Oryctolagus cuniculus: one gene and its partners. The protein of the gene in region 3 interacts with the protein of the main gene of each other region in a pairwise test. Links are inferred from orthologs where the notes say so. Each region holds a gene or a part of one and is shown on either strand. Other genes may lie near its edges.

Region 1 (3,500 bases), on a different chromosome or scaffold from region 3:
AGCAGCCCAGCCCTGCCCTCCTCGGCGCACGGAGACCCCAAGCCCTAGGGCGTGCTCGTGGCTGAGGCCCCATGCTGGGCGCTAAGGGGGCCAGGGAGACCACCTGCCTGGACAACACCAAGTCGCCGGGGTGGAGCGAGGCAGAGCCTGGGGCTGTGGCCTGGCTGCGTGTGACCCTGGCAGGTTTCCCATCTCTCAGCTTACAATGGCCGTGGCAACAGTGCTGGCCTCACACACGAAACCTTGGGGCGCATGGAGCTGGTGCGTGGGCAGTGCCGAGGGCAGAGGCCGGCGTGTGCTAGGTGCCCAGATCAATGCCAAGGTTAATGCTGAGAAAACGTGCAGGGGTCTCCTCAACACCAAGGGGCCTCCATGGGCCCCAGCCTGGGTACCCCTCCCTTCTTCTCGGACCCTGGGGTGTAAAAGCCCTCACAACTCCCTCCCCACAGGTCGCTTCCTGAGGGACACATGTGGCAAAGCAGGGGGTGCGTGTGGAATCACCCCCATGCTCCCGTGGCCCAGTTCCCTGCCTCCCTGAGGCCTGGGGCACAATGGGGGGCGGGGTGCATCCTGAAGACCCGATGAGGGCCAAGGCTATCTTCCGAGAACAGGGGACAGTCAGGCCGCTGGGTTCTTAAAACATCAGGCCATGTGGGGGAAGTACAGACCACACCGACACCGCTGCCGCGGGCTGAAGCTGCTTAGACAAAGCACTCGATGGGGGGGGGGGCTCCCAGCGGCATGGAGGGGGCCCTGCGACACTGGCTGGCTGCCACCCAGCTGCTGCGTGTTCTCAGACAGGCTGCTCCTTCTCTGGGTCTCAGTTTCCCCGAGTGTGAACCAGGACCATCAACACCAAGAGCTTGGCCTGGCCGGCTGAGCGGTAGGAACCGGACCAATGGCTCAGAGCTGTGCCCGAGCCCTGGTGAGGGACTCAGACATGGGGTCAACAGGGGGACAGGATGGGAACACAGCAGGCCCTTCCTGCAGGGGACAGCGGGGGCCTCTGCTCTGGCCACAGTCCCCACAACTGCCACTTCCCACATCTGTGACATTTGCCATGCCTGAGTGGCTGTCTCTGCTCCCTCCTGCCTACCCACGCTCAGCTTCCATGCCACCTCCTCCATGGAGCCCGCGGGGCTTAGCACTGTGTCTCCGTGGCTGGAGGTGCCTTTGCAGAGCGCCTGGGCAGCCAGGCTCCTGCTCTCTCTGGAAGCTGGCCTTGGGAACACTTCTGCTTCTCCTGCATCTCGCTTTTGCTCTCAGCCTCCCCAGCCCACATCCCTCTGTGATCTCCTCGTGGGGTGTGGGGGAGGTCCCCAGACTTCCCCCCTCCCCCAGGGAACTCCTAGTGCTGACGTCACAGGGCTGAGCTAGCCGCCAGGAGCAGTTAGGACAGGCCTGGTGCTGGCAAATACCAAGCCATTTGCTGTTGATGATTGACTATGGGTCTCCTGCCTGCATTGCACCCCTCCCCCCAGGCAGGTGTAAGGGCCCCCAGGAAGAGGAGCGAGCAGAGCCGGCCCACCAGCCCCCATCTTCTCCCCTCCTCTCACGCCCTCAACCTTCTCCTCTTCTCTCTGCTCAGCCCACAGAGCCCGCCCTGGCCCAGGAGCGGCCTCCAGCTGCCCGTGTCCTTGCCCCATGCTCTGCTCTGGGATCCCTGAAGGCTGCTTCCTCAAGCCCCCACCCACCCACCCACCCGCCAAGTGCAGAGCCCGCGGCCTCCTGCCAAGGCCGGGACCACGTGCAGAGGCGGAGACGGGAGGCGCTCACCGCTCGGTAGGTTTTCTTCTGCCCGGCGTGCTTGGGGGCTTTGCCTGGCTCAGCTGAGCTCTCCACATGCATAGAGTAGATGATGTCAAAGAAATCTTCCACCACAGCGACCCGCTTCAGAGAGATGCCCTCGGGCTCCGACAGGCCATCTGCCCCCTGCGACAGGGGGACAAGCTGTGTTAGTGTCAGGGCTCACGGTGGGGTGAGCGGGGTGGGAGTGGGGGGGCCGAGGCCCCGAGGTCAGGGGGGGCAGGGATGGGCGCTGCTCCCTGACCCCCTGTCGCCTCCTCCCAGGGTGGGGGTGGGGGCGGGGTGGGGTGGGGTCCCAGAATCAGGGTGGCTGCTACGAAATGTACCAGCAACAATGGGCAGAGAACGGCGACGACACAAATACAAATTAAAGAGCCAAGAGGCTCCATGTTCACGATTTCAGACAGATTGTGCCAGACTTGGGCGGGCGGGGGCTCTCAAATCACACGCTGTGCCAAGCCCGTCCCGGACGTCTCTGGGGAGGGGAGTGCTAAGTAGATGCGGCCCCGTCACGAGCCTGCCAATTAGCAGTAACCTTTCACTGTGGGCCTGGGCCGGGGTCCCTGGGGACCGGCTCCCATCACCTGGGTGACTCCTGCCTCCGCCCCTGGCCTTTCTAGCAAGCTTTTCACCACCGCCCGCCCTCCCCACCCTGGCAGCTGAGCGCAGCGCCAGCGCCCGGGCTCTTTGTGTGGGGACATGTGCGGGATGGCAGGCCGGAGGTCACGTGGAGGTGGCCTGTGAGGTGTGCCAGGATCGAGACGGGGTCCTCTGTCGCTAACAGCTGCAGGGCTGGCACCTGCCCTCCCCCACCGGCAGAGGAGGGAGGGTGGGGCAGAGGCAGCGGGCGGGCGTGAGGCTGGGACGAGGCCGGCGTCCTCAGGAAATGAGTCAGGGATCTGATTCTCGGACCCAGGACACCTCGGCCATCACTGCCCTCAGGAGGGACCGGGAGGGCCCCAGGGGGTGTCCGAGATCAGCAGAAAGCAGTGCACCGGGGATTTGGGGAAAACGAGGCAGGCTTTTCTCTAAAAGTGCCTCCAAGACCACTCCTCCTCACGGGGACCCTCACACAAGACCGTTGGCTTCTGGGCCGAGCCTGGGCTCACAGCTGTCCCTCTGGCACTGAGAACGCCGCTCAGGAAGTGACCGCCGGCCGGCGACTGGCTACGGGTGCAGCCCCTGAGCACCGCGCTCGCGCTCGGGTGGCTGTGGGACCCAGGGCAGTTGTTTTGCTTCTCGGGGCCTCAGGATCCTCATCCATAAACTGGGAATTCCAGAAGCACCTTTCCTATCAGTGAAGCGATGATTTCTCCTGCAGCTCTTGCACCCAGCTTGGCGCGGGGACCGCCTGGCTGTTGCTATCAGGCAGAAGTGCTCTGAGGCCGGACGGCGTGGCGCGGTTGGGTTAAATGGCTGCTTGGGACACCCGCGTTCCACATCAGAGTGCCGGTTCAAGTCCCAGCTGCTCCACTTCTAATCCAGCTGCCTGTCAATGCACATCTGGCGCCCCAGCCTCCCATGTGGGTGAGCTGGGTTGAGTTCTGGGCTCCTGGCTGTTGTGGGCATTTGGGGAGTGAACCAGTGGATGGAGGATCCTCCCACCCGACTCTCTCTTGCTCTTTCAAGTAGATGACATGTAAACATATAAAAAATGTAAAAAGTGCTTTGCAGTTTGCCATGTTCCCCCAGGC
Region 2 (3,500 bases), on a different chromosome or scaffold from region 3:
GCCCACGACAGAGCCCTGGGCTGCCGGCACTGAAGAGAGAGATGGAGGGGGAGGGGCTCAGGGAAGACTAAGAGCAGCCCATGAGCTGTGAGGTCACCAAGGCCCAGGGAATCCCCGGAGGAGAGACAGGAGCCGGCCATGGTGCTGTGCTGCTGGGAGAACAGGATGCGTGTGGGGTACGTGGCGTGGAAGATGGGAGGGACAGCGTGGCCGAGTGGAGAAGCCAGGAGCCAGCAGGTGGGCTGGAACGTGGAGGCGGGGGTGAGGGAAGTAGAGAGAGGTGGGTTTTGAAGGAGCACAGTGGGCCCAGGTGGGGAGGCCCAGCCGCACTGCTGTGTCCTTTGCTTTGTATATTTGAGCGAGAAGAGTGTTCTTGGAGTGGAAACTGGAGAGAGAGAGAGAGGAGAGAGGGAGGTTGAACAGACAAGGGGAGAGAGGGGAGGACTCCGAGCCAGGTCATGGGAGGGGAGGAGAAGGGTGGGCGTGGATGCAGGTGGGGGTTCAGTGACTGCAGGTGGCTACCTGGTGGCTCGTGTTGCCTTCTCGTCTGCTGAGGGGTGGAGCTGGGAAGTGTGCAGTGGAGGCCTGGGCGGGGCAAGCAGTCTGTCACCGGGTGCCAGGAACCGAAGGATGGGCGTAGGGGTTGCGCAGGAGGACACTTGCACAGGTAGCAGGGAGAGCCTGGTCAGGACTCGGAAGCCCGCCCTCCCCGGCCCCCAGGTGAGTCGCAGAACCTTTGAGCCTCGGTGCTCGTTTTCCAAAGGAGGCAACGACAAGGCTCCCTCGCGGGGCCGTGCAGATCTGACGGAGAGTGCGTGACGGCAGCCGCGGCCTCGGGCGGCGTGGGGCAGGGCAGTCTCAGGAGGCCCTGGTGACCAGAGACGGGCCTTGTTTCTGTAGAGGAGAAGCCTTTCCTTTCCTCTGATGGTTGGAGTCCACTCAGTCTTTTTCCAGTTCTTGGCTGTCTCATTTCGCTTCATCTCAGGGGAGGGGAAATGCTGTTATTTAATAGAGAAACAGCTGAGGGACAAAGTTTACACTCATCCGCAGCTTCACTGGCGAAGTCAGGGCCAGAACGCAGATCCACAGCTTCCGAGGAGTGGCGTGAGCACGGCGTGCAAGCCCTGGCCCCGTGGCTCTCCGTTCCTCCGTAGCACCCAGCTCTTTGCTTTGTCACCTTCCCCTTCCACAGGCGTGGGTTGCCAACTATGAGAGACCCCGGATGAACGCCAACTCCCTGCTGGCCAGCCCCACCGGCCTCAGCCCCTACCTGCGCTTCGGTTGCCTGTCCTGCCGCCTCTTCTACTACCGCCTGTGGGACCTGTATAAGAAGGTGAGAGCAGTGCGGCCTGTGTGCCTTCCCCGCTTGCAGCCAAGTGGCCCTGGGCCTCCTGCGTTTGCCAGTCACCCTGGAAAAGGTCCCCATCCTGTCCCTGGAGGTGGGGGCCTGTGTCATACATCCCATAGTCCAGAGTGGGTGGGGAAGGGTCAGTGCGCAAGGGCTGGCAGAGCCACGCGCCCAGTGAATCACTGATCTGCATCCATCCCCTGTGGTCCTGTGGGGCAGAGGAGGCCGCGGGGGGCCCAGAGGTAGCAGGTCCACTGGCTGGGGGTGGATGTGCACCAGAGCCCCAGCGCGGGACGATGGGCAGGTGAGGCTGGAGCCAGTCCTGCACTGAGCACAGCTGCCCTCTGGGGCTGCCCCCAGAGCACTGAAGGGACTGTCCAGGGGCTGCACCTGCCCATGAGCGCTGGGAGAAAGGCTCGAGGCAGGGGGAGAGAGTTCATGGGGGCCCGGCCATGGGGACCAGCAGCCCACAGGCATCCCTGGAAGGAGAAGGGACAGGTATCCAGTCCCCAGTCAGCGGCTCTTCCTTGGGGCTGCGTTTCTGACGTTTCCCTGTCCTTGCCAAGGTCATGAATTCAGGCCACTGGTAGCTTGGCAACTGGGGGGGGGGGGTAATCTTACGGTTTTAGGAAAATCATTATTTGCTTAGAGATCTGATCCCTTTTGTAAACAAATTATTATTTTATTATCGATTGATAGATTTGAGAGTCACAGGCAGACACAGAGCCCCCATCCCCTGGTTCACTCCCCAGAAGACCACAACGGCTGAGGCCGGGCCGGGCCAGAGCCCAGAGCCAGGAACTCAGTCCAGGTCTCCCAGGTTGGGGGGCAGGGACCCAACCCCTGGAGCCGCCACCTGCCACCCACTGGGGCGTGCGTTAGCGAGAAGCCGCGGTTGGGAGTGGAGCTGGGACTTGAACCCTGGCACTAATATGGAAGGCAGCCATCGCAAGTGGCATCTTACCTGCTGCACCTCTCGTTCCTGGAACTCCTGGAGGCTGGTCTCTTAACTCCTCCATGGACCCAGCCTGCGTGTGCAGCCTGTTTACCCCATGTCTGGACCGAGCATTTTATGCACTCTGATCAGAGAACTCCCCTTGACTATCTAGAAAGTGCAGCCAACCACCGTGGCCAGTCTTGGCAGGCTTGATTCCTGCCCACCCTGCCTGGCTTTCTGCAACCACTCTGGTTTTTTTGTTTTTTTTTTTTTAAATATCATTTTTTAGACTTACTAACTTCTCCCTGTAATGATTCCCCTTACATTCCCTACACATCTTTTTTAAAAGTTTTTTTCTTTTTTAAAATGATTTTATTTGAAAGGCAGAGCGAGAGAGAGAGAGGGAGACACGGAGATCTGCCATCCACTGGTTCACTCCCTAAATGGCTGCAGCAGGCCAGAGCCGGGAGCCGGGAGCCAGGAGCTCGTCCAAGTCTCCCGTGTGGATGGCAGGGGCCCAAGCACTCAGGCCATCTGCTGCTGCCTGCCAGGGCCGGGGCTGAGTCTGCAGGTGCGCTGCGCCGTTTCTTCCAGAGGACAGGCCCTCCGCCTGTCTAGGAGGTTTGGAGTCTGTAGGGACCTGAGCGGCCTGGCGCAGCGAGCCGGGCAAGCGTTCACGTGTCCGTGCCGCCCCCGCCCTCAGGTGAAGCGGAACAGCACCCCTCCCCTGTCCCTGTTTGGGCAACTCCTGTGGCGTGAGTTCTTCTACACGGCAGCCACCAACAACCCCAGGTTCGACCGCATGGAGGGGAACCCCATCTGCATCCAGATCCCCTGGGACCGCAACCCCGAGGCCCTGGCCAAGTGGGCTGAGGGCAAGACGGGCTTCCCCTGGATCGACGCCATCATGACCCAGCTCAGGCAGGAGGGCTGGATCCACCACCTGGCGCGGCACGCCGTGGCCTGCTTCCTCACGCGCGGCGACCTGTGGGTCAGCTGGGAGAGCGGGGTCCGGGTGAGTGCCCGCTCCCTCTGCCGAGCCCAGCTGTGGGCTGCCCTCTCCGGGCGGGGGGATGGCGTGGGAGCCTTCCGTGGCTGGCCCTGGGCCCCTGGGGGAGAACCGTGGCCGCGGATCCCCGAGGAGTCTGCTCGTCCCCGCCCCCGCCCAGGTGTTCGACGAGCTGCTTCTGGACGCCGACTTCAGCGTGAACGCGG
Region 3 (4,131 bases):
TGGCCTCGGGCCGTGCCATGCCACTCCCGAGGCAGTCGGCGCTGCGGGGACGGCGGGGCTGCGGGGGGAGCTCGTACTCGCAGGGACTTTAGGCCAAGCTGGCCCGGGGGGACGAGTCCACTCCCGCCCGCACAGCCTGGTCCCCGCAGCAGCAGCAACACGGATTCAGTGGTCAAACTGCCCCGGATGGACAGCGCCAGGGCAGCTCAGGGGTCCCACAGGCACAGGGACACGGGGTCCCGGCCGGCACCACGCTGGCGCAGGTCAGCCACCAGTGACCCCTGCCGCATCCCTGCCTGTGAGCTCCGAGACATCTCAGACCTGACGCCCACCACACCCTCCCCGCCTCACAGCAACTGGGGTTCACCGCAGCCCGATTAAGAACCCCCACGCCAGGTGAGGCTGCTGCCTGCAGTGCCGGCATCCCATATGGACGCCGGTTCAAGTCCCGGCTGCTCCACTTCCCATCCAGCTCCCTGCTGTGGCCTGGGAAAGCAGTGGAAGATGCCCAAGTGCTTGGGCCCCTGCGCTCATGTGGGAGACCCGGAGGAAGCTCCTGGCTCCAGATCCATGCAGCTCCGGCCATTGCGGCCAACTGGGGAGTGAACCAGCAGATGGAAGACCTCTCTCTCTCTGCCTCCCTCAACCTCTCTCTTCTGTAACTCCGCCTTTCAGATAAATAAATCTCAAAAAAAAGACAACCCCCACACCCTGAACACAAAGCCCAGTGCGGCCAGCCCCACTCCTGCCCCACAAGGGCACCCCCTGCTGCCCCTCACGGCTCTCTGGGGCCTGGCTCCCGCTCAACACACGGAAGAGCCTGCGACGGCCACCCCAGCGTCCACCAGGCCTGCACACAGTGTTGGCAGGGGACATGCAGCCACCCGCTGCCGGGTGGGAACTGAGCCCGTGGGCAGCAGGCACGAGGGGCCAGGGGGACCCACCCCAGGCAGAGGGTCCCACGGGAGGTGCAGATCTGCCACCATGGTCCACCCCCCAGGGAGCTATGGGCCCGCTCACCACACGCGTGTCCTGAAGGCCGCACAGGCTCCACTCTGGGGTGGAGGGCCTAGGGCAGCCCCTGCTTGCCCTCCTGGGGGACGAGTGGACCCCACAGGAAACCTGGCTCTGAGAACAGTGGGGCCCCTGTGGCATCCATACCACAGCCGGCAAGGGAGCAGCCAGGTGGCCCCCACCCCGCCCAGCACCCACACCAGGCACGTGCACGGGGCTCTGGCCGCCCCAGCCCAGCCCAGCAGCCAAGGGGGTCTGGTTTGCAGGAAGCCTGCACCGTGGGGTGCCCGCCGCGGGAGCCCTCACCCTCCCCACCGTGGACACCCTGCTTCCTGGCAGCCCACACGGAGGGGGCTGAGACCCCCAGGCCTGGCTGCACAAGAAGGCCGGAGCCGCGGGCACTCAGACCAAGGGGACAGGGGTTTTGGGGCAGGCACCACCTGCAGGCTCCTGGCCAGAGACCCAAGGGCAGGCGACAAACCCTCGGCACAGGACCCTGACGCCAGCCACGACATGCTGACCAGGCACCAAGACGCTGCCCAGACGGCCAAACCCCGGGCTACCAAGGTCCACCGTGCGGCCTCAGAGGCCGACAGGGCCAGCGGTGCCCCTACTGCCCGGGATGTGGCCAGAACCGGGGCTGAGCCCATGGGACAGTCCCAGTCCCGGGTGCCCCGAGGCAGGACACAGAACACTGGGAAGAGAGGCCCGGCCGGCACCTGCTGAGCGCGCTTGTGGGGTCAGGAGACGCTGGGGAGACCAAGCACCGTCCCCTCCCCGGCCCGGCAGAGCCAGCCCAGGCTGGGGGCAGCCGCCGGTGTGCAGGGCCGCAGAGGCAGGCGCAGCGCCCCACCCGCCCCCACCCCGCAGTCCCGGACTGGGCACACAGGCCAAGTGCAGGGCAGGGCAGGGAAGAGCGCGGGAACCGGAGCCCCGGCCGGGGGCCAGCAGCCCGGGGGACTCGAGCCCTCCGCTGTCCGCGCGCAGACCCAGAGTGGGGGCCTCGGGGCCGGAAAGGCCGGGTCGGCGGCGGGACGCGGCCACTGTGGCCGGGCCTGGCCCCCCGGGAGCCCCCTTTTGCCCTAACCGGGGTTGCTCATCACGAGGGCCAGAAGCGGGCCCCGCGACCCCGGCCGCAGCCCGCCCGCCGGGCCGGACACAAAGGTGGCGCCGCGAGGCCTCGGGCTCCCCGCCGCCCCGGGGAACGACCTGCGTGCTCACTTCCGGGCCTCGGGCCTCGGGCCCCAGGGCAGCCCGCTGGGCGCTCGCGGGGCCGGGGCCGCAGCGCCACGCCCAGGAGCCCGGGGCGGGGGCGGCCAGGGCTGCGGGGCCGCCCCGAGGCCCGCGGGCCCCTTTGTGTCACCTGCGCGGGCCAGGCCGCGCGGCGCACGCGCACGCGCACTCGCTCGCAGCAGCCCGCGCATGCGCGCGGCCCCCGCCCCCCGCCCGCCGGCGCGCACGCGCACTCGCACACAAAGCCGGCGCCCACGGGCGCGCGCCCGGCCCGCCCCGCGCGCGCGTCGCCGCCCCCGCCCCGGCCGGAAGCGCGCGCGGCCTTACCGAGAGGGAGGCCCTTGTTGAGCAAGTGCGAGCTGCCCATTGAAAAGCGCGGGCGGCCGCGGGCCCCGCGAGTCCCGCGCGCTCCGCCGCCGCGAGCCCGGCGCGTGGGGCGGCCTCGGCGCCGTCCGCTGCTCCGCCCGCCGCCTGCGCCGCCGCCGCCGTGCGAGCCGCGCCGCGAGCCGCGCTCCGACCGACCGAGCGGGCGGGGACACGCGGCGGCGCGCGCGGGCGGGGCCTGCGCGGTTGGTCTGCTGGTTGCCGGCGCAGCGCGCGGCGCGGGCGGGCGGCTCGGGCTCTCGGCGCGGCCCCGCCCGCCGTCCTCCGCGGGGTCGGGCCCCGCGGCGCGGGCGCTGCAGGTGCAGGTGCGGCGCCTGCCGGGGGCGCTCCGGGAAGCGGCCGGCGCGGCCCCGCGCTCCGAGCCCCGTGCGGGGGAGCAGGCGGGCAGGTGCGGCGGGCCAGGTGTGCGCCCGCCCGGCCGAGGCCTCCCCCGCGCCTGGCTCAGTCCGGTCCCGCACGCCCCAGGGCCCTTCGCGCGCGGTGCTGTCCGGCTCTTTTTCGGACGCCGTCTCACCCGGGCCCTGTGTGAGAGCCGCGCCAGGAGCCCCGCAGGGTGGGCGTCTCCGCCCGCGCCCGCCGCCCGGACCCCGGACCCCGGGGAGAACCGGGCCGGGAGGCCCAGCGGGCAGCTTGGAGCTCGGGCCCACCCCGTCCTCGGACAGCCCCGCAGAGCCGTTAGGCGGGCGCCCGGCAGGCGGGACTCAGGGCTTGGGTCCGGGTCGCCCGCTGGGGAGTGGCCCAGCCAAGGAAGATTCCCCCGTTCAGAGAAAGCACCGCAGCGCGGCGGATGTGAATACAAACGAACTAATTCCCGCGCGAACCCTCAGCCCTGGACTCCCGCACTCCCGCGGGGGAGGCCTTGCCCCTGGGGCTGGCCGCTTTCCGGAAGAGTGGGCAGTGGAGTCGGGGGCCGGGGAGGGACCCCACCAGAGTGGCCAGAGCCCAGGCCGGCAGCAGGGACCCCTGGCCTTCCACCAGGCGGGCCCAAGGAGGCAGAGGAGCGCGCGTGCAGCCCCCTCGGCCTGGGGGGCTCCCGGCTGCAGGCTCCGGGCTCCGGGGTCTGGGGTCTGGGGTCTCGGCAGCCAGGCACTCACACACCCCCCGGCTGCGTCCTGATGGAACTTTCCACAGCACAGCTCAGCCCGGCCCGACGGCTGGTGCCCAGGTAGAGGCCGCTGGGCCCTGCTGTCTGCTCCCGGGGCTGGCGAGAGCCCCGGCTGGGCGTGGGGCAGGGGCAGTGACCATGGGGGGGTGGGAAGTGGGTGCGGGGGGGCTGGGCAGTGACCACGGGGGGCCGGGTAGTGACCATGGGGGGCTGGGAAGTGGGTGCGGGGGGGGGCCTGGGCAGTAACCACGGGGGGCCGGGTAGTGACCATGGGGGGCTGGGAAGTGGGTGCGGGGGGGGGGGCCTGGGCAGTAACCACGGGGGGCCGGGTAGTGACCATGGGGGGCTGGGAAGTGGGTGCGGGGGGGGGGGGCCTGGGCAGTGACCATGGGGGG
Region 4 (3,956 bases), on a different chromosome or scaffold from region 3:
CAAGATTATGTGTTTTTTTTTAACATGCATTTTTCACACAAGATGTTCAGTCAACTGTTAAAGTATACAAACCACAATGTAGTACATTCTGGATCAATCCATGAGTGTGCTTTACCTAAGGCAGAATGTGGAATCCCAGTGTAGCTCCATCCAGTTACATGGTCCGTTACGGCTCCTCTTTCCACTCCATCAATTTACATGTTTTTGAAAAATGAACATTACTTTTTAAAAACTGGGTAAGTGAGTGTCAATTAGAAAAGAAAAGCTGTGTCTTTCAACACATAAACTGCGTTTGCACTTGTAGTTCGTGTCCAGTGTTGGCAAGGCAGCAGTATCAGAGCTGGTGACTGACACCTGGAAAGACGGGCAGTGCTTCTGGGTTTCCTCACTCCACTGTAGGATTTTTGGCAGGTTGCTCAGTTGTTCTTGTTCAGTTTTCCTCCTCCTACAACTGGGCACTTTCTTCACAATGAAGTGGAGAACTAATGAGATCTTGTTTAGGAGGACTGACAAGAATTCTGTGTGACCACTTATCAGCTATCCCACCAGTGCCAAACTCAGCACCTAACTTAGCACCCAACTCACAAGTAATCAAACTTTTCGATGGAAGAATGAGAATTCCAAAGTACCTGACATATTGTGAATATCCTATAAGGATGGATTTTCCTCTTGTTTTAGCTAAAATTGCTAATTTCTTTGATACAGATAATTTACTGTTTACTATTTGTTTACTATTAAAAATATAGTTACCTACCGGTATGACAAAGCTATTTATCAAGAAAAATAACCCAAAGGAATTATTCAAAGTTTCTATAGTTTAATTCAATAAATCATTTGAACTTAGTTGATTCAATTCATAAAAAAAGATTAATATTTTACTAAATTTAGCATGCATCTTTTTTAAACTGATGTATCTGCTGAGATATGATTCAAACAAAGGAAAATTATCTCTATGATGTTAAACAGTTTTGTATTTAAAATAGACTCTGAAAAAACCCTTTCTTTCCTCTCTCTTTCCCTCCTTCTCTTCTTATCATTCATTTCTTATTTTCTCCTGCCCTCTCCTCACATTCTTTTTTTTTAAGACAAAGATGAATCTAAATATGGAAAAAATTTATTCATGAAGACTTCTTCCAGCTCTTTATTTTTACCTAGTTCACAAGTTTGTTTTCTGAACCTTTTATATAGAATTCAAATGGAATTCCATCCTCACTTCAACAACAACAACAACAAAATGGCCATGGCAAATAAAATCACTATAAAGCAAGCAACAATCTTCCTTAAAACAACCCTTAATGTCACTACCTCTTTTTAAAAAATAACATATATTAGCAATTTCCTATGTCCTACACATTATTCAAAGCATTTTACATATAATAATTCCTGTAATGGTGGCAGGAAGCACTACTATCATTTTCTCTTTCTCAAGGTGAGACTTGCTAAACTCTTACAAGTTGCAAATTCCACAAGCATCCCTAGTCCTCTCTCTCTCTCTTCCTCTCTGTCACACTTATCACCATTTAATCTACTACTGTATGTTATTTGTTACTGTTGCATATAGTGTATCCTGCCCTCTGCAGCCACCTCCCCTTGCAGGAGCTCTTGCAAGGGCAGAGGATTTTTCTATCAAGTTCAAGGCTGCAGACCATTTGTGTGGCAAATGTGCATAGCATGCACTAGGCATCCAAAAAGTATTTGTGAGTAAACAAATTCCCATTGCACAGATGAGAAAGCTGAGATATCTGGTGCTTCCATATCATTTTGTCCTCAAGGCTATAATTATAAAGCATTTGTCAACTTGCCAATCATTGTTTGGATATATAAACCATTCCATGTGCTGCTTGTTTGTGAAAGACCTTGATAACCTTCATTGGGCTATCCAATGACTGTTGGTCTCAGGAACTCATTACCACAAGATCATGATAAGAATGAAAGTTTTGGGGCCAGTGCTGTGGCACAGCGGGTTAATGCCCTGGCCTGTAGCACCGGCATCCCATATGGGCTCCAGTTCAAGACCCAGCTGCTCCACTTCCAATCCAGCTCTCTGCTATGGCCTGGGAAAGCAGTGGAAGATGGCCCAAGTCATTGGGCCCCTCCACCCATGTGGGAGACCCAGAAGAAGCTCTTGGCTCCTGGCTTCGGATCTGCACAGCTCCGGCTGTTGTGGCCAATTGGGGAGTGAACCATCAGATGGAAGACCTCTCTCTTTCTCTCTCCCTCTCTCTCTCTCTCTCTCTCTGACTGTCTCTCCTCTCTCTGTGTAACTCTGACTTTCAAATAAATAAATCTTAAAAAAAAAAGAGAAGGAAAGTTTCTTCAAAAATGAGAATGGGGGCAGCAGGTATTTGATGCAGCCATCAAGCCATCAGTTGGTACACTGACATCCATCTGGAGCACCCAGCTTCAAGTCCTGGGTCCACTCCCAATTCCCGCCTTCTGCCAATGCAAACCCTGGAGAGAGATGGCGATGACGAAAGAAACTAGGAACCTGCAACCCACATGGAAGATCTGGATTGAAATTCTGGCCCCTGGCTTTGGCCTAACCCAGCCTGTGTGGCTGTAGGCATTTGGGGAGTAAACCAGCAGGTGGGAGCTCTGTCTGTCTCTTAAGAGAAAAAAAAGAGAATAAAAGCAGGACAAGAACAATTATGTGCATTAACTATCACTACTATATGTGCATTTTTGTATATTACAAATATATTACAAATAAATTATATATACAAATATATTACAAATAAATAAGCAACGGCATCATTTTCAGATTAACGTGCGGTATCATACCTTCCTGTTTTCTTTCACATCATTCACTCTGTATATGTTGTCCACAAGGCGTTAGGCAGTCTCAGCAACTAAGCAGAGTCAGACGGTAGAATGTGCAGCTCAACTCTGTATTTTAATTCATTGAGAGAGAAAAATTAGATGGACACGTAATATTTTCATCCTCTCATTATGCCTGCAGCTTCCATGCCTAAGCTGCAAGATGATAGGCCCTATAGAAAGGGTAAATAAACAGAAGAGAGGAAAGCATTTCAGTGACTTCAGAGCTGTTGTATTAAGACTGTCTTGTTGACAATTTTAAACTCCACAAATCCTCATCAATTATTAATTATTTTTCTCATTGAATTAAACAGGTGGATGGTATTTTCTCAGGAGAAAATATCAGGTGAAATGTAAGGCTTAGTGTTGACACATACGAATGGTTCATATGAATGAAATCCTATAGCTTTACTATGCGTCCCAATCTATCTCCCACAGTACACAGAAAGTATACAATTCATTTATTACAGAAAGAGAATAAGAATTTAAAGCACACTCTTTATTCCTTTGAAGCTAGAACCAGCTCTTTTCCTGTTGCAATAAACAAAACAAAGAAACTACTTCACAGTATTTAACCATTGTCTGTGAGCTCTGACACCCCTGGGTCTCTCCTGCTGGCTCCAGAGAGGTTGCAATGAAGAACACTACAGACAAAAGTCCGGGATGAGGATGTGGCCAGGGCATCCTATCATGAGAAATGCCATGCCATCTTTCACCATCTAACTTCTCAGTGGGCTGATTCTGTCAATATATCATTTACTCACTTATCAAAATTGCTCACTTAAAAAGTTGAGTTGAATGGTTCCTTATCCAATATGCCATTACCATGCCTCTTTGTTTCATCATGAGTTATGTTCATTGTTTATATGGCTTCTTGCCTGCTAGGACTGTTAGCCACATGCATGAATTCGCTGGGCAGCCGCTGAGACAAGAAACATATGGCTGGGTCTGCCGAGAAAATCTAGACACACACCATGCATAACTCTATCTTTTTGTGTGCGTGTATATTGACTTGTGTCCATTCATGCACATCTACTTGTGGGATCTGTGTCTCTTACAATCCAGTGCTAATAAAAATATTTATATAATTTCACCCCTGCAATACTTACAAATATCTTTTTATTTAATAACGTAAGCAA
Region 5 (4,084 bases), on a different chromosome or scaffold from region 3:
ATCTTTTATTTATTTTTCAACTCATTGAAATGATGATTGGCTGTCTCTCAGAGGAGGAGGAGCCTGAAACACTGTCAGGAGCAGTAGAAAAATTCCATAAAGAGCAATGGAAGAGTTCATGAATTAAAAACCTCTTTAACAGCTCAACACTGGCTTGAAAGAAGAGCAGAGCTCTTAAATACTACACGGAAACTATTATCTAAGATTATCACCTGATGAATTATTCTTTCTCCCATAAATATAGGGACTCTACTGAACAGAGAAAGACATTTTACTTTCTCTTCACCCTTGGAGTTGTCTCTGCATAGGATGCCTTGTCAGTAATTCTTTAACTCTGCACTAAATTTTAAATGAAAATATGGGTATCACAGCACGAGAATGCTGTTTTAAATAATTGGAACCCAGGATTATTTTAGTGCTTTTAAAAAGCACAGAATTTATATCATATACAATTTTAAAAATTAATCTTTTATACAGACATATGTGTGAATATAGGAGTAGTCAAAACTATACAAGTATAAGCTTATTGCACCAAGACATATGTGTGAAGCTATCTGACAGTTACACCAAGGAACCTAAGTTTAACATAAAAGAAATGAAAAACAAACTTCCTAGATATGTTTATTTTTGACATATAAGAGATTAGTTTTAAAAGTTGTAAACATATCTTAAATTATTTTATTCACTCCGTTAGCTAGGTCTGCCCAAAGAAAAATACATTCTTCTTTTGAATTCTGATTTATTCTAACAATGAATTATTTTTCTACATAACTGCCAATACAAATGAATCAAAAACACTCCATTCTCTATAACAGACTCTGGCTCATCCAGATGTAAATAAGCCTCAGTTCTAATTCATGCCAGGCTAGTCCTCATTATTTAGTAAAGCAAGACAGTAATCTCAGCATTGTCTTTAACAGTGCCATATGCTCTGAGAGACAGTATATCTACAGATCTACCTCCAAGAAACCTTCCAACAGTAGAACATTAAAACAGCGACAGAACTTTCAAGTGTTTCCATTTTACCTTTATTTCCATGTTCCATTTTTCATACGAATTTCCAAAGAAATACACAAGCTCCAAACAATATTCTTAATTAATCTCAGGAAGCCACCAGCTGCTTTCCAAACCTCAAAGAGTCCTCCAAATACCGCTCTGAACAACCCATTTCTAAATGAATGTGCACCCCCGCCAGACACAGCCTGGCGTCCAAGCCCTCTCCTTCCTAGCATCCTCCAGGAATCCTGCACGAGGAAACAGTTGCCAGTGAGGGAGGGGCGGGGTGGGGGTAAGGAGCAAATGCTCAGGAAACCACAGCACCGCGAGGCAAAAATACAAAGGATGCCAGAAGCCTCCCCCACCCCTACTCCAAGCGAGCACCCACCGTGGCACGATGCAGAAAGGTCTTAGGCGGCTCATCTGCAAATCCACGCTGCCGCGGCTCCCCAGCCCCACAGGCATCTGCGTGTGAGGTTGAGCCAGACTCAGCTCCCAGGGCCAGTCACCTCCAGTGGCGCCCAGGCTGGAGCTTTGTGGCCATGAGACTGGAGCCACCCCAGAAAGAGGGACACACACACACGCGCGCACACACACACACACCCCATCTGATCGCGCTCAAACCCATCTCTCTTTGTTGCTCATCATCTAGCTGCGGCTTTATTTGTGGAACCGCGAAGTGAGGAAAGGAATGGGGGGGGGGGGAGTGCTGTGGAGGGAGGGAGGCGGGGAGGACGCATCCCCAGGACCTCATCTGCAATCTAAACAGTCGTGACCGCGATCTCCGGGACCCTCCGAGGAGCTCGCGCTGCCCCGCGTCTCACGCGCGGCGGCTAACAATAAACCCCGACAGCGTGCGGGGGAAACCCCTCGTCCGCCGCGACCGCCACCCGCGGGCTTTGTGCCAATAAGGAGACACTGTCGCCTATCGATCAGCATCGTCTGTTATCAGAGCGTGAGGCTAGGGTTCCAGCCTGGCCTTTTATGCGCGCGGTGGCGGCGGTGGCACACGCGCCAGGCGTCCAGCGAAGGACGTGGGACAATGGCCCAGCCCGAAGACGCTGGACGCTTGCCGGACGCCGCCCGGCCGGGGCTAGGAGGCTCGGCGGCTGGTCCCCGAGCCGGGGAGGCGGGGAGGGCGGAGGGGCTGCGGAGGTGCGCGCTGCCGCTTTAAAATAAAGGACCACAAAGACGCCACGGCGGGGGGAAACCGCGCCTGGCTGCTGCGAGCGGGGACGACTTGAGGAGGGGGTTGGGGAGGGTGGGGGCACAAGAGCCAACGGTGGCTCTCGGCTCCCCCCTCTCCTCCCGCCCCGCCGGGCTGCTCGGGCAGACAAATAACAGAGGCAGGCGAGTCACTCACCGTGGTCTTGACCGGCACGTAGAGCACCTGCTTGGCTCCGCCGCCTCCCGCGCGGACCTCGTCCGGCTGGCCCAGCTGGAAGCCCTTCGATTTGACCCAGAATTTAAATTTGGCGTTGTCCGTGGAGCTCGACTCGGAGCCGTTGAGGAGCTGGACGATCCGCTCGTATTTCTTACGGGTCACCGTCTTGGTCTTGCCTGAGTCCCCGTAAGTCCTGAGGCACCAGTCCTGGAACTGGCGGTACATGTCGCGCTCGCTCTCCATGTTCCCCGCGCTCGGCCGCCGCCGGCCGGATGCTCCCAGCGCACTTCGCACCTGTTCACCCCGGGCTCATGAAAGATGCAGCCCTGGCCACGATGCGGGGACGCGAGGTCCCGGCCGCCGCGGGAGCCTGCCTCGGGTTGGGGGTGGGGGGGTGGGGTAGGGGGGAGGAACGGGCAGCGGGGAGGAGGGTCCAGTTGGGCACCGGCAATCAATGCCCTGTGCTAGCCAGTCTGGCTCATTCGTAAGAGCAGCGGAGGGCTCGGACGCTTTTCCCGTCCTCTCGGTGATGGGGCTCTTTAATATTGTGTGTCCAGGACCATCCCAACAGCATTTGGCCCAGAGGAGCTGGGCTCTGAATAATTAAAATCCTATTCCTGGGTTTATTAAAAATCTCAATATTGACCCGGGGCGCTCCCTCGACGCCTCACCCCGGGCTGCGTCCCGGGCAGGGCAGGTGGGAGCGCAGCGCCGCCTCCCCGCGCGCGCCCGGGAAGCTTCCTCGGCCGCCGGTCTGGGAGCGAGGGCTGCGCCGCTCCCGAAAGCAGCCGCCGGGCGGAGCGCCTGCAAGCCCCGCAGGGCACACGCGTCCCTGGGCTCTCCTTGCTCCGCTTCGGCCTTCCGGGTGACCGGCAGGGAAGGAACTAGAAAAACAGAAAGTTCTTACCTGTCATGTCTTTAAGCCTATCAAAATTCCGTTTTACGGGATTTTTTTTTTAAGACGAGGGGGTGGAGGGAAAGCAAGATAATTTTAAAAACGCGTTAAAATAGCACGTCTTCAGGTGCACTGGGGCTAAATTGCAGCCCCGCATCTAGGTTCTAGGAGTTAGGTCCCAGCAAGGAGCGGCGCCTTCATAGAGGGCTCGGCCGGTAGTTCCCAGGGTCGGCGCCGGTGCCCCAAACAGATACGGGTTCCGGGAGGGCGTGGGTACGAAGGCAGGCCGCCGGCCGCGGGTCTCCGGGATGGCGACCCGGCCCCGGCCAGCACTCCTCAGGCTTCTGCGGCACCGGGGTGCCCGGCATAGAAGTAAGTTTATAACAGAGATGCTTGGAACCCTGGGCAGGAAATGAGAATACACAGAAGCGTCGTTTCCCCCGCTGCTTGGTCACAGTTTGCAGTTCACCCGGGAGGTTTCGGTTGTCGCTTTTCCCCTCCCGCCACGTCACGGACACCCCCTCCGCCGCGCAGGGACGCCAGATACGAGTTCCTCAGGACGATTTTCCCAGGCAAAGGAAGTCAGCGGTTCCTCCATTCAGGATTTCCATCCGCGTGCCACGGTGCTGGAAATAGGAGTTCCCATCCTCCTCGCGCAGCGCCGGCGGCCGCTCCTCTTTATTCTACTCTGGGCCGAGGCCCGCGCGCGTCCCAGGAAGCCGCTGCGCCAGGAAGGCGGCCCGAGCGGTGCCCGGCGCCGGCTCAGGGTCCCAGGCCACCTTCGCCACTCGTCGTCGCCTGCCGGACGA
Region 6 (4,250 bases), on a different chromosome or scaffold from region 3:
CTTCATGAGAGGCACATTTGCAGGGAGAAGTTTAAGGAACAGCAGAGTCACTGAAGAGATTCACATCACAGCCACATCACAAAAGATCAACTCCAGAAAACAGAAGATGTCTATTCCTTCTCCATCTACTGTGCCAAAAGCCAATTAACAAATAGGAAAACAGACTTGACTCTGTTCAGGTCTTTTTTAGCAGAATGATGAACATCCCAATCAAAAAAGAATTTTGAGAAAGGGGTGAGGACATCAACAAAGTCTCTTTCACTATTTCAGAGACATTACTGAGCATTTCTTACAACTACTGGCAAACTAAAAACCTGTTTATAATCACTAACAAGAAACAGCACAGAAAAAAAAAAAAAACAAACTTCAAGAAAACAGAAACATGTTACTGTCCTAATGTAGACCCACCTTAATGGCTGTTACTACTCCATATTGGAGTTTGCTCCTTACTTTATTATACTACTGACCTTGTTGGTTAATGCCCATCCCCATGGGTTATACAACAATATTCCACACCTATGGCTCAGAATCGGCAACAGAGGCACGCACTTGGCTCATCAGCTAAGACGTTATTTGGGATGCCCCACATCCATGTCAAGTGCCTTGGTTTGAGTCCCAGCTGCCTTTCCAATTCCAGCTCAGGCTAATGCACACCCTGGGAAGCAGCATGTAATGGATCTAAATATCAGGTCCCTGCTATTCACATGGAAGACAAAGACTAAGTTATGGCACCTGGCTTCAGCTTGGCCCAGACATGGCTGTCGTAGCCATTCAGGGAGTGAATCATTGGATGGATGATCAAGATCTTTCACTTTCAAAAAATGAAAATAAATAAATTGGGGAGGGGGGGCCGGGAGGATGTTAACTTAGCTCTGGCAGAACAAGGCTCAGTTAATTTACTGTATACTCTTTCATAAACCTTTTCTTCCAGATCAAATATTTACCAAAAACTTAGTATATACTAGTCAAAGGCTTCTTATTTATCCAATGCCAATGCAATAATTATTCTTATCAGTTCCAAACTTCCTCCACATCCCTAATAACAAAGTCATATTTGTAAGGAAAAAGAATGTATGCCTCACAAAATTTGCAATTTAAACTTTTTATATCAGGATTGGATTAGAGAGCAAGTTTATTACTTGCAGAATATTCATGCTTTTCATAAAGGTAAGAAGTTCCAGGGCTGGCACTGTGGCACAGCGGGGTTAACACTCTGGCCTGCAGCACCAGCATCCCACATGGGTGCCGGTTTGAGACCCGGCTGCTCCACTTCCAATGCAGCTCTCTGCTGTGGCCTGGGAAAGCAGTCCAAGATGGCCCAAGTGCTTGGGCCTCTGCACCCACATGGGAGACCCAGAAGAAGCTCCTGCCTCCTGGCTTCAGATCAGCACAGCCCGGGTCGTTGCAGCCAATTGGGGAGTTAACCAGGGAATGAAAGACCTCTCTCTGTAACTCTTTGAAATAAATAAATAAATCTTTAAAAGAGAGAGATACTAAGTTCCACACTTAACAAAAAAGTTTAAACAGTGTGCACTAATCTGTTTATTAAATGTAAATATATTGTGGACAGGGTTTTGTTAAGACACTACTTAGAACACCTGCATCTCACCAGGTCTCTAGGTTTGTCTCTTGTTCCAATTCCAACTCCAGTTTCCTGTGCATGTGCACCCTGGGAGGCAGCAACTGATGGCCCAGGTATTTGGGTCCTTGCCACACAAGAGGGAAACCCTGCTTGAGTTCCCAGCTCCTGTCTTCTGCCTGGCCCGGCCCCAGCCTCAGCTATTTTGGGTATTTGCAGCGTGAACCACCAGATGGAAGACCTATGTGTCTGTCTCTGTCTTCCAAGTAAATAAAAATCAATTTCTAAACATTAAAAATAAATATCTTCCCAAAATAAAAGGAAACGAACTCTACTAATTAATAAATATTATCTAGAGGCAACATCTACAGTAGCCTACCAGGTTCAGCATGCAGATACTGCAAAACCGGTAATTCAGAAACACTGAAGGTCGGGAGTCTGCATTTGTAAGGTAAACCAAGGGTCGCACCAGCTCCCCTTAACTGCTTTACACAAGGTCAGTCATCTTTTCGGACGAAATGGATTTAAAAAAAAAATTATTCAGGCTATACTCAAAGCAACCTCAACTGGGAGAACATCTCTCATGCTCAGGAAACAGCAGGGGCCGTTATGCTTTCCCTAGCCTGCTGAAGACGGAAATACGGACAAGGCGGAGGACCGCCAGGAAAGCGATGGGCTGGCGTGGAGCCAAGAGCACAACCAGCCGGACAGGAGGCCGCCTCCCCCGCCTCCTGGCCGAGACCCCCGGGACCCCACGCTGCAGACCTAGCGCGCGGGGCAGCTCCGGACGCCGCCACCTGGGAAAGTTCGCACCTCGGCATCTCCTCCCTCGCACCGACCGCAGCGCCGTCGCCATGGCGACTGGTCCCCACCCTACTCCCACCCGCAAAGGGAGCAGCGCCCACTTCGCTCGGTAGCTTCGGGCACGGCTCCGAACAGAGCCCGGAGAGGGTCTGCCGAGCCCGGGAATCTAGGGACAGGGAGGACCGGGAGGAGGAAGAGGTGCGAAACGCGGGAGTCCCGCGGCTCCCGGGCCGGGGCCAAACCCTTCCCCTGGGGTCCTCACCCTTCACTTTGCCGAAGGTGCCGACCCCCAGCGTGTCCCCCAGGATGTAGTGGCCGATCTTCACCCGCCCGTCGTGTTTCTGCTTCTCGGCTGTCGCCATCTTCCTCCAGACACTGAGTCTGCGCACGGCGCCGCGGGAGGGGGCGGAGGGGGCGGGCAGGGCCGCGCCGGGGGCGGGCGGGCGGCGAGGGGGTGGGGACGCGGGCGAGCAGCTGCGGGGCCGAGCCGCCGCCCCGCGCGCGCCGCCCGGGCCTGGCCACCTGGAGCCGCCGCTCCCCCGGGCGGGGCGGGCTGCGGTCGCTGGCAGGGGCCCCCCAGTCCCCTTGGTCGCCCCGCATCCTTTCGGGCTCGGCACCCGCCCAGCTTCCCGGGTAGTCCAGGAGGGCGGTAGCCCCTCCGCCCTTTCTCGGGCAGTGGGCGCCACTGATAACCGCTTCTGTGCGGGGCGGGGGCGCCGTTCTCCTTGAGATTCCGGGGAGGGGCGATGGGCCCTGGGAAGCCCTCTGGGGTGGTGCAGATCGTGGCTCTTTTACTTGTGCAGCGTGAACTGAACCATGGCAGGGGGCTCCTCCCTGATTATCACCTTTCCTTCCCAGACGGGGTCCAGGTGCCACAGGGAGTGTTCATTTGCCTCTCGGACTTTCCCCTGCATCGCTCTTACTTCGCTGTGAGCCATAAGTTACCATTGGGCAGTTCAAGCAGGCTTGTCGGTGTTTTCTCCTGGATGCTTTCCTTAAGGAAGAGGGAGGCTGGGCACCTGTGGGGTTGTATGCTTATCAGGCAGAAAGCGATGCTACCCTGCCCTTTCGCTGTACAGGAATTACTATGTTTAGATTATCAGTAAAATGCACACTATCACGGGACTGACGATAACGTTTACAGTTACATCGACCATTTATTGTATGTGCAAGGAATAAAACTTTATTGTCTGTGTAGATGAAACCATACTATGTCACAGAGAAAGTAAAGTGTGCTTATTTGTAATATAATTTTTCAGTAAGTTTGTTACTGAATTCCACGGAGAATTATCACATGCCTCCAACAGTAGGCAAAGTCAAATGTGTCATCCAAAAAAGAAAGAAAAAAAGTTTATATGCTCTCGGTTTTGCCGTGTCATAGCATTTGGACCAGTGTCAATGGGTAAAAAGTTGGACTCTTCATGAAAAGAGTATAAGAAAGTATAAAACTAAGAAATGTCATCATTTTCCTTTCCAACAAAAATAAATTACCTCTAAAACTCTCCCATCTCCCACTTGCTTTCTCTCTGGCTCCCAAAATATATGTGCAGGCTGCCTCTAGATGCTGCCAGCAAGAAGGCCATCACCAAGTTTAGCCTGTTGACCTTGGGCCAGGACTGTCTCTTGCTGCTTCCCTCTGCACTTTCTTCACTTTTGAAGCTGGGGTAGAGAGTCTGTAAGCAGTGTAATTGTCACTCTCTTGGTAGAAACTAGCCCTACTGACAGTATATCAATTCATTGAGAAATTAAATAATAGTGTTATGAGCTGAAAGTTACCCAACTGTCCTGATTGTCTCCTCTTTTTGTTAAGAAACCAAAGTAGCACGTATTAAGGACTGTTTTGTTCGAAAGATCCTATTGCAAGGGA
Region 7 (4,224 bases), on a different chromosome or scaffold from region 3:
CAGCAGAGCTCTCCACCAGGATCTGACCACCGTGGTCCCTCCCACCAAGACAGGAGCCCTGCGGGCAAGCAGAGGGCTCCACCCAACACCCCCCACCCCCCTTCACATTGCTGACGTCCAGCATGGGCCAAGTGCTCAGTGCCTGATCCCTGGGAGCAAACCAAGAATGGCATCCCGTCCCTGGGAAGGTAAGCAACTAGGATGGCTGTGGAGGTCTGTTTTTCCATCGGACAGCTAGTTCCCTGGGGACCTGGATTTCCTTGGAAAGTCCCAGAAGGCAGAAGTGACTGCAGAGAGCAAACCAATTCCCTTAGCGTGAAGACAGGGAAACCTGTGCAAGACTACAGGGCAGGCAGATCTCAGCTCTGTGCCCTTTCTACCACACTGACACAGAGAAAATACCTAGAAAATGAGTGCGCTCCAAGAGCTGGGTTTTTAAAAGCCTTGAGTCTACAAGTGAGGGTGCTGCAGTGGGTAAAGGTCCCACTCAGGAAGCCCACATCCCAGACTGGTGTCCATGGGCTTCCTGCTAACGCACTTGGGAGGCAGCAAGTGATGACTCAAGAACCAGGCTTCCCGCCACCCACACAGGAGACCAGAATCCAGTTCTGGGCTCCTGGCTTTGGCAGCTAGTATTTGGGCAGTGAACCAACAGGTGGAAGACTCCTCTCTGCCTTTTAAATAAACAAATATTTAAAAAAAGTAAAGTCTACATGTCTCTGCCTTTCCCTCTCTGTAACTCTGCCTTTCAAATAACCGTTTTTTAAAAAAATATGTTTAAAAAGTCCACAGGCGACTTGAAACTGTATACCAAAAGCAGCAAGATACAGAGAACAATGTAGTTCACGCACAAAGCTGAGAAAAACATCTCGTTCCCTGTTGGAGACCAAGCCAGTGCATGGGCAACCACTCTCACGCAAAGGGTGGGAAGAGGCGCACAGGTGCACTGGGCCAGAGCACAGCTCAGGGGAGGAGCGTGCAGACCGAGTAAAGGGAGAGACATGTGCGCAGGCCCGGTATGGCCGGAAAGTTCTAGAGAACGAGCCTTTAGCCAGACAAAATGGCCGAAAGCGGTGCGCATGCGCAGATAGATTGAACAAGGGTGGGGTTGGGGGGAGAGTACTCTGGGCGGGGCCTCTAGTTCCCCCCCACCACCCGCCAGGGAAGGAAGGGTGCGCAGGCACTCATGGGTTGAACCGAGTTGGGGTTCGGGGAGCGTACTCTGGGCTGGGCCTCTAGTCTCCCGGCCAGGGAAGGAAGGGTGCGCAGGCGCAGTGATAGCTGAGCCACGCCCACCTGCCAGAAAGTCTTGAAGGAAGAGGACGCCCGTGTGAGACAGGAGCCGGAAGAGCAGCGCAGGCGCAGTAGGGCTGGTCTCTCCCTGGAGTCCCCAGGGGGAGCCACCGCTAAACGCCCCGGGAGCCATCTTTTTTAAGGCCAAAACTACTCCCTAAATATTAAAAGTCCTTTCGATCTCCCTTTCTCTTTTGCTTTTTCTAAGAAAACACCCATCCCAAATCCTCGTTCAGAGAAGGGTTGCTCAGAGCCAAGCATCTTCCCCACCTCGAGCCCCCAGGCCCCGCCAGCCCCTACCCCAGCGGCCTGTTCTGTGGGTTCGGGTCTCGGGCCACGAGCTCGGGGAGCAGGGAGCCCGCAGCCGGGAGAGGAGCGGACGCGGCGCCAAGGCAGGGCGAGGTGCGGGAATCTTACCGAAATCCGCGAACGGCGGGCTGGGCGGGGGCCGCAGCGGCCTGCACAGCTCCAGGTGGCCAGGGCCGCCCAGGCCTGCTGCCTCCAGCCCGAGCTGGGCCGCCACGTGGCCGCGGCCGCCCAGGACAGGCTGGAAGGCGCTCGGGCCCGGGCTGGGGCCCCGCGGCGGCCTCTCGCAAAAGTAGGCAGCCGCGCGGCCCTCGGGCTCCGGCCGGAGATCTCCCGAAGCCGCCGGCGGAGGCAGCAGGTGGAGGCCTGGGCCCTGGCTGGCGGCCGCGGCCCCAGCCACCGCCCCGGCGGCCAGCTCAGGCGCCTGAGGGCCCAGGGCCAGCTCCTGCTCCTCCTCCGAGGCCTGCTTCCTGAGCACCTTCTGCGCGGCCATGATCTTCTGGCGCTCGGTGATCAGGCAGCACTTGTCGCAGGTGCACTGCTTCCAGCCGCACTTTCCCGCGTGGCCCTTGACGGGCACCAGGAAGCCGTGGTTGCGGCACCTGGAGCACTTGGGGGCGCGCAGCATCTTGTCGGCCAGTTTAGCAGCGTCTGCCTTCATCGTGCAACCGCCACCTCGGGGAGCCGCGGAGCAAGTGGCGCAGCAGTGAACTGCGCCCCACAAGTCCCTGGTGCTGGGGACAGTGGATACACTTGTAGCAAACCGGCACGTAGTGCGTCCCGAGAAACGCCCAAAAACTGCCGCCAGACCCTTGCATTCTCTCGCCCTTTTTTTTTTCGGTGCAGTGCAAACGTTGGGATTTCTGTGCCTTTGGTAAGTAGGTGCAAGGGATTGGGTTAAATACATTCTTCATGGAGTGCTATTGCATGCATGTCATCTGGAATATCCGTAGTCTCAGGCATTTAATTTTTCAAACTCGATATTCCCGCCATCCCAAGACGGGAGGTACTTCGTGATTAAAAAAAAAAGGCGGAGTGATACCCAGCGGCCCACAGATTTAAAACTTTAGAAAATCGCCTCTTAGTAAACCCGTGACAGTATAAAAGCACTTTAAGAGGCAGAACGCCTTTCTCCTTCCCGAGGCTGCTGCTTCTGCGGAAGCTCATGTCTCCTCCTTGTAGAGAAACAGCCGTTCACGGGGAGGCTTCTAGAATATTCTCGGGCACTCTGTGCCGCGTGGGGGTTGCTGAAGGGTGTGTCCTTCCAGTCATTCCGGCTGGGGAAGAGTGTTGGGATAGGAATCCGTTTCTGGAAATGGTGCTTTTCTGTTGCTGATGCCTTCGGGAGGCAAACATGCTTAGAATGTTTTCAAGTAAAATAAACCAAGGGTATTTTGGCACTGGCTTGAAGCATTGCTTAACTCTTTGGTTGTCGCTCTGAAACAATCCAGGTCTTGGGAAAAGTCGGCACAGGCTTCATAGTTTACCCAGGGGCACTAAATCAATACGTATTCTTGATTTCTCTCTCTTTTTTAATAGAAATTGGTGAATCCCTGAGGTCCTTTTATTTGGGCAAAGAAAAAAAAAAAAAAAGAGGTGTGGGATGGGCCGCTAACCGCTGACAGGCTTCTAATCGTAGGCTGACCCTACTGAAGGAGGCAGTGAAGGTTAGCCGCTGGCTGAAGTGTGTGTCCGCTACTGCCCTCTCTCTGTTCAGGATGCTCTTCCTGGCTAGCATGGCAGGTGCGGCCTAGCTGTGCACCCTGCCGTCTCACCAGCTGCCTGGGGATAGGAAACCATTGCCTTTCTGAGACCCGTGAGAGGGTAGAAAGCTGAGAGGAGGTTTGTAGTCTTTTTCTGCTTAAAAGAATATTCTTCATCTTAATAACAGGGCAAAAGTAGATGTCACCTGTATTCTTTAGGAATGCTGCCGTTAGCTTTGCATTCATTTAAAGAGGGCTACCTTTGTCTCTGCTTCACTCTTAACACTATATATTTTTTAAAATTATTTATATTCATCCGAGAGGCAGACTGACAGACGGAGGTCCCATCTACTGGTTCACTCCCATTTAAATGTCCATAACAGGGCAGGCGCTGTGGTACAGCAGGTTGGGCTATGGCTATAGCTGCAGCACCAGCATCCCATGTGGGCTCTGGTTCAAGTCCAGGCTGTTTCACTTCCAGTCCAGCTCCCTGCTAGTATACCTGGGAGGGCCCAAGTCTTTGGGCTCCTGCACCACGTGCAGGACCTGGAGGAAGCTCCTGGCTCCTGGCTTCCACCTGGCTCACCCCTGGTCATCGCAGCCATTTAGGGAGTGAACCAGCAGATGGAAGATTCTCTCTCTCTCTCTCTCTCTCTCTCTCTGTAAGTCTACATTTCAAATAAATATATACATCTTAAAAAAAATAGCGGTGCTGAGCCAGGCCACAGCCAGGAACCAGGAACTCTTTCTGGGTCTCCCACATGAGTGGCAGGAATCCAGATACTCAAGCGATCACCTGCTGCCTCCCAGGGTGTACGTTAGGTGGAAGCTGGAATCAGGAGCAGGACTGGGACTCGAACCCAAATACTTCCATGGGGGATGCAGACATCTTAACAACTAGATCAAAGGCCCACCCCTACAT

What was found.
Region 1: the proteins of CTBP1 (region 3) and NOL4L interact in binary tests that used the Homo sapiens proteins (3 or more experiments, as listed by UniProt). The link is inferred for Oryctolagus cuniculus from reciprocal best matches to the Homo sapiens genes CTBP1 and NOL4L.
Region 2: the proteins of CTBP1 (region 3) and CRY2 interact in binary tests that used the Homo sapiens proteins (3 or more experiments, as listed by UniProt). The two-hybrid records come from large-scale screens. The link is inferred for Oryctolagus cuniculus from reciprocal best matches to the Homo sapiens genes CTBP1 and CRY2.
Region 4: the proteins of CTBP1 (region 3) and KLF12 interact in binary tests that used the Homo sapiens proteins (3 or more experiments, as listed by UniProt). The link is inferred for Oryctolagus cuniculus from reciprocal best matches to the Homo sapiens genes CTBP1 and KLF12.
Region 5: the proteins of CTBP1 (region 3) and NOL4 interact in binary tests that used the Homo sapiens proteins (3 or more experiments, as listed by UniProt). The link is inferred for Oryctolagus cuniculus from reciprocal best matches to the Homo sapiens genes CTBP1 and NOL4.
Region 6: the proteins of CTBP1 (region 3) and PRKAA1 interact in binary tests that used the Homo sapiens proteins (3 or more experiments, as listed by UniProt). The two-hybrid records come from large-scale screens. The link is inferred for Oryctolagus cuniculus from reciprocal best matches to the Homo sapiens genes CTBP1 and PRKAA1.
Region 7: the proteins of CTBP1 (region 3) and DMRTB1 interact in a two-hybrid assay, tested with the Homo sapiens proteins (4 studies listed by BioGRID). The link is inferred for Oryctolagus cuniculus from reciprocal best matches to the Homo sapiens genes CTBP1 and DMRTB1.

Annotation. Positions count from the first base shown.
Region 1 is NC_091442.1:25,330,439-25,333,938, reverse strand, and holds part of NOL4L (nucleolar protein 4-like), read right to left. Parts: intron 1,933-3,500; coding exon 1,777-1,932; intron 1-1,776.
Region 2 is NC_091432.1:20,094,738-20,098,237, reverse strand, and holds part of CRY2 (cryptochrome-2), read left to right. Parts: intron 1-97; exon of another isoform or gene 98-140; intron 141-1,192; coding exon 1,193-1,333; intron 1,334-2,988; coding exon 2,989-3,300; intron 3,301-3,454; coding exon 3,455-3,500. UniProt on the Homo sapiens protein: Transcriptional repressor which forms a core component of the circadian clock.
Region 3 is NC_091433.1:418,961-423,091, forward strand, and holds the start of CTBP1 (C-terminal-binding protein 1), read right to left. Parts: upstream 2,801-4,131; 5' UTR 2,575-2,800; intron 1-2,574. UniProt on the Homo sapiens protein: Corepressor targeting diverse transcription regulators such as GLIS2 or BCL6. Has dehydrogenase activity. Involved in controlling the equilibrium between tubular and stacked structures in the Golgi complex.
Region 4 is NC_091440.1:38,561,890-38,565,845, reverse strand, and holds the start of KLF12 (Krueppel-like factor 12), read right to left. Parts: upstream 2,801-3,956; 5' UTR 2,782-2,800; intron 1-2,781. UniProt on the Homo sapiens protein: Confers strong transcriptional repression to the AP-2-alpha gene. Binds to a regulatory element (A32) in the AP-2-alpha gene promoter.
Region 5 is NC_091441.1:43,331,502-43,335,585, reverse strand, and holds the start of NOL4 (nucleolar protein 4), read right to left. Parts: upstream 2,801-4,084; 5' UTR 2,624-2,800; coding exon 2,360-2,623; intron 1,639-2,359; exon of another isoform or gene 1,385-1,638; intron 1,291-1,384; exon of another isoform or gene 1,039-1,290; coding exon of another isoform or gene 1,027-1,038; intron 1-1,026.
Region 6 is NC_091445.1:66,055,818-66,060,067, forward strand, and holds the start of PRKAA1 (5'-AMP-activated protein kinase catalytic subunit alpha-1), read right to left. Parts: upstream 2,801-4,250; 5' UTR 2,746-2,800; coding exon 2,646-2,745; intron 1-2,645. UniProt on the Homo sapiens protein: Catalytic subunit of AMP-activated protein kinase (AMPK), an energy sensor protein kinase that plays a key role in regulating cellular energy metabolism.
Region 7 is NC_091438.1:119,539,930-119,544,153, forward strand, and holds the start of DMRTB1 (doublesex- and mab-3-related transcription factor B1), read right to left. Parts: upstream 2,801-4,224; 5' UTR 2,507-2,800; coding exon 1,711-2,506; intron 1-1,710.